Schizosaccharomyces pombe: one gene and its partner. The protein of the gene in region 1 interacts with the protein of each later gene in a pairwise test. Each region holds a gene or a part of one and is shown on either strand. Other genes may lie near its edges.

Evidence for each region. Proteins that work in one complex are often made in the same cells at the same time.
Region 2: the proteins of SPOM_SPBC14F5.10C (region 1) and gpc1 interact in a two-hybrid assay, tested with the Schizosaccharomyces pombe proteins (one large-scale study listed by BioGRID).

Annotation. Positions count from the first base shown.
Region 1 is NC_003423.3:4,174,972-4,180,121, forward strand, and holds SPOM_SPBC14F5.10C (ubiquitin-protein ligase E3), read right to left. Parts: upstream 3,088-5,150; 5' UTR 2,742-3,087; coding exon 1,281-2,741; 3' UTR 501-1,280; downstream 1-500. Other genes in the region: adenylosuccinate lyase Ade8, read right to left, coding at 1-476; sorting nexin Snx41, read right to left, coding at 3,639-5,111.
Region 2 is NC_003423.3:3,179,862-3,184,310, reverse strand, and holds gpc1 (transporter), read right to left. Parts: upstream 2,513-4,449; 5' UTR 2,307-2,512; coding exon 2,127-2,306; intron 2,076-2,126; coding exon 1,804-2,075; intron 1,728-1,803; coding exon 1,658-1,727; intron 1,620-1,657; coding exon 1,495-1,619; exon of another isoform or gene 1,452-1,494; coding exon 1,191-1,451; intron 1,143-1,190; coding exon 943-1,142; intron 894-942; coding exon 790-893; 3' UTR 636-789; downstream 1-635. Other genes in the region: SPOM_SPBC776.06C (Arf3/6 docking factor), read left to right, coding at 1-484, 540-635; sec2302 (COPII cargo receptor subunit Sec23b), read right to left, coding at 3,142-4,449. UniProt on the Schizosaccharomyces pombe protein: Glycerophosphocholine acyltransferase (GPCAT) that utilizes acyl-CoA to acylate glycero-3-phosphocholine (GPC), forming lysophosphatidylcholine (LPC).

The DNA.
Region 1 (5,150 bases):
GGTTGATAATGTGTAAACCCAAGAGTAGGAATGTCTTTGTATCGCAAAGACCACTGGCTAAGACGATTGATAACGTTGACTAACTTAGGGATCAAAAGATCCATGGCGCTGCGTAAGAAAATCAAGTCAGCATTATCGGTTACAAAACAGCTAGTAGCACCCAAATGAATAATACCAGAAGCAGCAGGAGCAGCAAGACCATATGTATAGATGTGAGCCATAACATCGTGTCTCTGACGCTTCTCTTCCTTAGCAGCGATTTCAAATTCTGGAGCTGTAATTTTGACATGCGCTTTAAGTTGCTCAATAGCTTCATCAGTAATTTGAGTTAAACCGAGTTGCTTTTCAGCAATGGCGAGATTCAACCACAATTGTCTCCAAGTATTAATACGCATTTCTCTTGAAAAGAGATGAGACATTTCAGCAGAAGCATATCTTGCTGTCAATGGTGTACTATATGAACCATAATCCTCCATATTCGATAATCTTAAGCTCGCCAAAAAATTTCTACCTGTTGTGGTGAATGGACAGTGAGGAACCAACACTAAGTAGTGCTCTACAAATGCTCCACCTTGAGAAGACCATCAGATTTATTATTTTGTAATTTCCATATTAATTAGTTAACGCGCATGAAAAATCAAACGATAATTTATTGTGCCTCCATGCTTCATATGTAGTATTCACCTAACCCACCAAGCAAATCAATTGAAGATCAAGTATAGAGGAGTAAAGGTGCCTTTCCACATATGTTAGCAATATTACAAAAGGGGTTATAAATTTACTTTAACCAATGCCTAAGTAAGAAAAAGACAGAGACCACTTCGTCAATTGAAACTTGTATTCTTAAACTAGTGAATATGAAATGTGAACTAGTAAGAGCAGAAAATTAATTTCTCTATAATGCCAAAATCTACTTCATCAGCAGATAACGAAAACCAAAATTATTTTGGATTATACTATTAAAATATCTTCACAGTGAAAAAGTAATAAACAAAAAACCATCAAGAAAAATAAATATTAAAAGTTGCAAACATCAACTATTAAATAAAGTGTGAAACAAAAAGAGAATTCTTGCTGTATTGGCATGGGTGTTTTTAAATTGGTCAAAGAAATATTCATGACAATCAACCCCAGATATTCTCAGATGCCAAGAATTAAGTGCTCATTTGTATAGGGTAATTAGATGTATTTTGATCGTTTTCGAGATAACCTTTCAGTAAATCAAAGGCTATATTTTATGGCCCATACAAAGGGCGCGCGACTTCAACTACAATTAAAACTCAAGCAATGGTGCAAGCACTTCCAACACGATACCACCAACTTTCTTGAAGTTGAGTTAACCAAATAAGAACCAAAACCAGTCGATCGGTCGGGTTGTCAACTTGCAAAATGCGAGTTTTCTCAAGCTCTGAGATAGGAAGAAGATTGGTGATTTTGTAAGACAAGTCAGCAATTGACTGTCTAGCCTCCATTTTTATATCGATTAAAGGTACAACCCAATGAACATATGTTCGGCGGGCATTCATGTAAAAAGCATCTATTCTTTCAACTAATTCTTCATTACTTAGATTACCATACATTAATAGATATTCAGGCTCAGGAAATTGGAGTGGAGTGGCTCTCAAAGGAGTATCATAGTGCTTTTCAATTTTCACTCTCGGAAACAAACCATCAGCTCGAAAATCGATTATACGAACACAATATGAACCACGGGCTTCTACAAGACTTCTCCCATCGATCAAAGGCTCGACTTGGATAATTTCTAAAATTGTACCATACTCAGAACAAAAAAGACGTTGACCACGAGCATTTCGAAGCTCTCGATGCTCATTATGACCATCACTTCGTGCTCTTAAAGGCATTGCAATACAAAATCGCTTAGAAGTCTCCAGACATTTTTTGATCATGATGTGGTATCGCAGTTCAAAAATATGAAGGAATGTCGGCATTCTGGGATATGCAAGCATGCTAATAAATAACGGAAGCCAACTTTCCTGTTCCTTTTCTTCTTCCCATGATTTTTGACGTTCTAACCAATTATCTGGGTAAAAATCTCGCAAAAATGTGGTAATAGAGTGGCTTTTCGCATGTTCCAACACAACAGGAGATGGGAGCCCAAAACGACAAGTCGGGCATTGAGGAGACTGGGTTAGTGCTTGCATAAGGCAAGGGCCACAAAATGTATGTCCACATGGAGAAACAACTGGGTCATAAAGCATGCCAAAACAAATTTGACATTCCAATTCTCGAGAAACATTCTCTTGTAATAGGTCCTCCATATGTAAAAATTCAGCTACTGCAGTCTCATAAGAAGATGAGGAAGGTATTAAGTTATGAAAAGTGGGAGGCAGCAGAGTAATTTCAGTCAATGCAGAAGTACAAGGTGGTGACGAAGAAAGACAATCGTCATGACAAATTTCCTCCTTTAATTCCAGCGGTACCAAACTCTGCTGAGAAATTTGAAACTCTGTAGTTTTAATCAATTCAACCACTTTGGAAATGATCACATCTTTCACTTCGGTCTCTACAGAATAATGCGGTTTCTTATGGTTGTAAAAGCAACATCTTGAGGGACTAACTTTTCCAGAGCTTTCCGAAGAATATGCGTTTCGAAAGCATTTCCGACAGACTGTTCCTCCACAAGGAAGTGTGACAGGCCAGTCAGGCAAACAATTACAGCCCGGACAAATAAAGTAAGACCTTATTTTATTAAATAATACTCCTGGCCTTTCTTTTCTCATTTTTAATCGCTCGTAAAACTAATTCAGATGTCGATTGCTAATGTCAAGTAATTTTACACTCGTTAATTCCATGGATGACTCCAGAGAATACTAGAAACTTAAAAATATTGTTTTTTTTTTTTTAAGAAAGAATATGAACCTTCTTCAATTATTTCAGTCGAAAAAGGAAAACCTCATTAATTCATGAAATTACTGATGACATATCTTCATCACGCACAAACACTTGCTGTAGCTATCTATAAAATAAAGACTTATTAACAATTCTTAAAAGGATTTATTCCTTTAATTTATGTTAATAAAGCAATTCACAACAGAAAGACAAAGTGATGCTGTGTTGTAAACGGATGACAGCATAAATATGGTGACATTATATATATATATACATAATATAACGTTACATCCGTGTGAATTGCTAACATGATGATGGAAAAGTAAAAAAGACGAATATTGCAATTAAAAAGCTTTAATAATTAAAATAAATTAATAACTTTAATTGATAAAAGTACAGGAAGTAATTACCAGTTTATTATGGTGAAACGGCAAACAATTGTATACCGATATATTACATACTGATCGACATGTGACTCTTACTTTCAGTACAAATTTAAGATGATGGTCAATTAAGAAGATAGGCGTTCATATATTTCATTACAAATAATCATAAAAAAAACAGATTCATGAAGAAAAACCAAGCAAGGTGCTAATCAACCTGAAAGACAAGGCAATCTCAATGGCACGTTTATAAAAGGGTACCGGAATTCTCTAACCTTAGTAGGTCAAGCCTGAATGAAGTAAAACACCTAGGGGTAGAATATGCAGAATAGGAAGAAAAGCATGAAAGCAAATATTCAAACATTGTATTGAAAAAGAAACCCAACCAAATCTAGGACCAATAAATTATGATACATATGTTTTCAATGATTCTTGTACGGAATTCCAGATTCGCAAGTTCCGGTTGGCCCAATCTATATGACTATCGGTCAAACGGTTTAAAATTCTGTTTAAATCCTGACGATGCGTGTCTTGGTAGCGCTGGAACTCAAAGTTTACTCTGTCAGTTACAAATGCGACATCCTTAGTGGTAATCAAGAGCATGTCCGTAAGATGGGTAACGCTTTCTGCGGTCCTACCGATGTTGTTGTGTCGCGATACTTCCACATTATTATCAGTTAGACCATTCAATACAAAACGTATTCTATCAAATACATCACGAATCGTGCGCGGTAAAACAGTAACTGACGTCAAAGAGGTATCTTGTGATACTGTTTCAAAATCTTGACTTTGATTGTGCCGTAAATCCCGCAAACACTCTTCCGTTTGCTCTCCATTTCCATCATGATAGTTTTCCAAGGGCTGATCGGTTCCCATCAAGGGAACCGACGGCTCTTTTGATTCTTCATCATTAAATAGGGGATCTTCTTCGGGAATAGTTGAACGAGAAGTTTGAGCGTTATTTACACCCAAAGTAGCTTCCGATTCCCTATTGAGTATTACGTCCCCATCTACCTCACCAATAGCCTGTTGTAGACGAGCAGCATGTCTCTCCCTGCGCTCCAAAAGATGAAGAAAGCTCTTTTTTCTTGTGAGAAGCTCTTCGACCATTACCTGTTGAATAAACTTCATCTTTCTAAAGATAAAAATGTGACGCATATTTTTGGCGTCTTTTGAAAGCTCCTGAAGCGGTTCTATTACCGCGATTACAAAGTTGTGCATAAAGTCAATACTAGCAAGACATGTGTGATCATTTGCTTGTCCAACCTTTTCCAGTGCTGTCAAAAGCTTTCCCGACTCGGATAACGAAAGAGCGTTAAACATTGCCCCCAAAGTAGAGTGTGCGAGGCAATACTTAGAGTTTGATAAAACAATTTGATTAAATAAATTGGATTCCTCTTGTGCTACTATTGAATACTGCTGTAGCGTATCTTCAAGCATAAGAAAATTTTTCCCAACATCGTCATAATTGTCACGAGGTACAAGGGTTTTAGAGGGAATAGGCAGCTCCTTGTATAACTCAGCATTCTCTTTAGAAGAAGGATCAGCTGGTGGGGCTTTCAATAAATCCTTTGGGAGACAACTAATAGGAGGACTATGCAATACTTCCTTCCAAGATACATGTCGACTAAGAAATTTTCGAAAAACTTCTGAAAGGCCCAGAATAGGGTGTTGTGCTACCCTTCTCAAAAATAATTGTAATAATCTCTTTCTTTCTTCGAGCATACGAGACATTCGTTGGTTTTTGGTGACGTTTATCAAGTAATCCATGATTTTATGTTTATCAGGTAATGGAGGAACCAAGCAAGTAGGATACAGGCGGCTAAGTTGTACGCGCAAAGAAGCAAATTCTGAATATCGATGGTGTATTTCTGAGTCCTAAAAACCGTTAGTAATCAAACATTTCAATACTTCCAA
Region 2 (4,449 bases), 1.0 Mb from region 1:
ATATATACAATCCTTTATCAGAAAAGCGACAAGTTATGAAGCCTTGTTTTTGGAATCATCCCCGCTCAACCCATACTATAAGGATTACAAGTTTAAAGGATTTGGGTGGAGTTGGGATAATGACGATGAAAAGGTTAATGAACTTCTTTATTTAGCCCCAAAGTTTGAAGCTTGGAGACAAGCATCCACGTATAAAGACTATTGCTATCGGCTTCATTGTGCAAGCACCCCTGTACTTCGTTGTATGGATATTCAGTTTCACCTGGATAGACTAAGGAACTCGTCTCTCTCTACAACAGATGCTGCCGAAATATTTCTTGCTCTTGAGTCACACATTCGAACGGAAGAAGATGTAAATTATTTATTGTCTAATTGCCCCCTTCACTCAGGAGGCTTATCTGTAATTGCATTTGGACTTTATCATATATCTGACAAGGTTCGTAAAGCCGTCTCGAAATTGCTTAACAGAATTGAAACTCATAAGGTAAATTTCCTTTTCCATTGCTAATCCTAATTGGTATAACTAACTTATTTTTTAGTATGGAAAACTATTTTATATGGCCTTGAACAAGGTAGACATCTCTACTCATGTATACATCAACTCCCAGCATAAAAAGAAAAAAGATTCATTCTAAAAATTGTACATTATTTAACTTGATATAAATATAGGTCTTTTCGTAATTGTTAAGCTAAGTTCGTAATAATGTAGGAAATAAAAATGGAACAATCATAAGGAGTAAAGATCAGACATTTCGAAGCGTTAGTAGCTAAATGAGTTACTGCTATAAATTAACGGCTTAATGCAGAACTAGAACCAGAATTCGTCGGAGTTTCTGCCAATTGCTGTCGTAAAGCTTCTAATTCTTTTTGGAAACGTCTTCCAAATACATCAACTAAAATTGTTAAATTCCTAAAATTTTCATAAGTAACTTGATGACTTACTGTAATACGATGCGCCGTTCCAGACGGACCAGCCAAAAATTAGAGCTAGGAAAGCAGTAGAATATAATTTGTTGTTATACCAAAGAGAACACGGCAACATTGTTGTAATTGAATACAGGTACTGAATGATCATAAAAACAAATGGTTGCAAGTTTTGAGGAAGTTTCGCAACTGCACGCCCGAGCTTTGTTTTAGAATAACTTCTAGTATTAGCCATGAAAAGTTAAGTACACCGAATATGGACATACGCTTTTGACAACCATGTAAAAGAAGTTGGTCTGCCTTCCTGAATTTGTTTTTGTTTACCCACTTGGATAAAAAAATAATACCAAATCTGCCACAATGCATAAAAAAAAGAAGCAATCTCCACAGATGAAAGCAAATCGATCTTTTTAACTTTTAAAACAGCAGGAAAGCGATCTTTTAAATAAGACTTATTTGTTAGGTGCACAATTGTATGAAGAACCAAGGGCGGGAAAAAATGAATGAAGAGACTTGTAATTTTATCACTGAACATTAGTCAGGCATTCAAACTTCTTCTTAGGTACGTACATTGAATGAAACAATAAACTGTTTCTCCAAGCAACCACAGACCATGCCAAGGTACCATAGCTTATTGAGTATGACAGAATAAATAATCGCCGACTCTCCGGAAATATCCAAATGTAAACAAGAAGCTGACATTAGTTTCTTCACACTGCTGAAATAAACTTACCAGAATATTCCCCCAATAACAAAAATCAGCTATGAAGTATTCGTATCCTTTTCGTTGATACGTATAATACCTTATTTAAGTTAAAAATGATGGCATACGAGAATACGAGCCACGCTCATATCCATTAGAAATTATAAGCTACTTACCTCAAAGGTAAATAAACGAAAAGCTGTATAGTATACCATAGGTGCATTGATTCAGGAGCCATACCAACCAGCAAGGCAGTTAAAATGCAAGTGCTAACACCTAACGCGAAGGATAATTTATCGCGAAAACGAACAACTTTTCCGGAATTCCATTGTTCTTGAAACTTGTCGATCGATTTCCCTAGTCTTTCTTTTAACTTGTCGGTTTCATAGTTAATTTGTTTATGAATAGGCTGCAATTTATTTTTTTGACGTGATACTCCATGTTTCAACTACAGACATTAATAAAATACAAAAGGTGGTAATGTTATGTATGGACATACCTGTCCTTTCTTTTGATTATAATGCTTGTGTAGCCAAGAATAGACCCGATAAATGTTTGGTGCGTCAAATAAATCTGTAAAACCAACAGAATCATCTAATCCATGAAGTCCATAGTCATTGTCTTCCTCAAAGATCGAATATTCTGAATCAGTATTTTCATCAAATTCTAAATGATCCATTTTCCTTTATCAAAAAAGTAATTGGCGAAGCAACAAATCAACGCAACCGTATATCCAAAAATAAAGTAAGGAACCAAAAAATGGAAGCGTGATCTAGTTTGTAATCAACCGATTGAAGAAATACCAATGTTAATATTCCTATTAAATATTGTTCAATTTACTATGCTTTAATATTCTAGCTTTTGCAATAGGAAAAGAATTGTGTTGAGAAAGTTGCTGATTATCGGAATATGGTATACAATACGTGTTACAAGTAGTTATGACTATGATGCATATTTTCAATTGAACGGAACACGTTTATTCCAATAACCACCGAACAATAAAAGTATGTTATATTTAAAAAAACCTCTCTTTTATAAAACAAACATAGGCTCTTGCCCATTAACTAATTTTACACGTTTGTTGCTTAACTTAATACTACCATTACCATAATTTACTCCCAAATTAATCATAAATTCCCTGCGAATACGTACCAAGAATGCGAATTTTCAATACCTAAATTGGGGTAGGTTACTTTGCACGAAACATTAAATGCATTACATTCCGAGAACAAATTGAGTAGTTTATGCCTTTCTAAAAAAACTACATTATAAATACAGAAAATAAAAAAAGCGGTCTCCTTTTTTAAAAGATTTTACACCATTATCTGTATGAATAATATCAAAATATGGTGTTAACAAATGCTTGAACATTTTCTTCTAAAGATGGAATATATACTAATAGTTGATGTATTTAGGTTGCATCGACATTACAAAGCCATAGTTGATAGCTCCGCTATTACAAAGATGCAAATGTGTAATGATAGTTGTATAGACTCATCTTCAATATAGACAATTTAAGATATGACAGCCATTTTACGAAGATGGTCCATAAACTTTTGCAGGTTTACGTCGTCCGTTAAAACCGTTTCAGAATCCTTTGACATTGGTGAAAATTGAGAGGACTTGTTAAAAGAAACAGAAGGATTAATTCTTGATAGTAGGAATCTCGCTTGACTACCTCCCTGATCGCAAACAATAAATCGTGGAATAGGGAAGCGATCAGCCAGTAATTCAGTAACTTCAAGACGCGGAGCTAAAAGAAGCTCCTTCAAATTAACATACTCTGGTTGCTCTTGGTAACCAGCATTTCTCCATTGAGCAATAGTTGAACCATGGAAAATCAGTATATGAAAATAGGTGTCAAGTAGCAAAATCACATCTGGTTTAATGGAAACAGAATCCAGTAATACAGGTACCCCTTCAGGCTCGTTAAAGCTATAGGATTGAAGAGTGGGTTGTATCATAATTAAAGAATCATTGACATCCGCAACGTTCAACATATGACGATAGAAAGAAGTTTCATCGGGAGAATTATTAAAGATATGCAAAAATGGACTTCTCCTCAAGTGAAAAATAAACTGTGGATAAAGTGTAAAGTTTGGAAGTAAACGGAAACTGGAAGGGTCTTCTTTTCTATAGTCTGCAAAGTGTTGACAAAGCCTAATCAGGTTTCTATCAATCCATCTAGTTACGCTCATTTCATCCTCGGTTTGACATTTGAACAAAGCCATGCGAGCGACTATAGCAGCAGCAGCTTCCTGATCAAACGACTCCGAAATACTTTTTGCATTGCCGGTAATAAATGAGCGAGATATGGTAGTAACACGAAGTCGATAAGTTCCCGAAGAATGTTGGTAATATGTCAAAAACTGAATGAAAGCTTGAGTAGGCCTTTGCGAATTTGGATTCCCCATCTCTTTACCCAAATCGAAATATAGAGCGTATGAAGATTTAGGTGAAATCGCTGCCATTTTCCAAGAATTCGTTTTGCTTATGCCAATTTGAGTATCACTAATATTAGTACCTTTTTTATTTTCACCAACTCCATTTCCAATCATTCCACAGATAGTGAGGCCTTTAGACGTTAAGACTTCCAAATTCGCCATAAACCCCATTTTTAGATAACCGGAAGCATCAACACTAAATAATCTTTGAAAGCTCTGCTTAAAAATGGAAGTTGTAAATGAGTCGGATAGCACAATGGCACCACCAGTATTGTTAACAAGGTTTTCCATTTCCATTATACCTACTTGATCAAGGCAACCAGCAAATAAATCTAGAGCATGCCCTTGGTTGGAGAGGCGTTCAGCTAAAGAAGAATA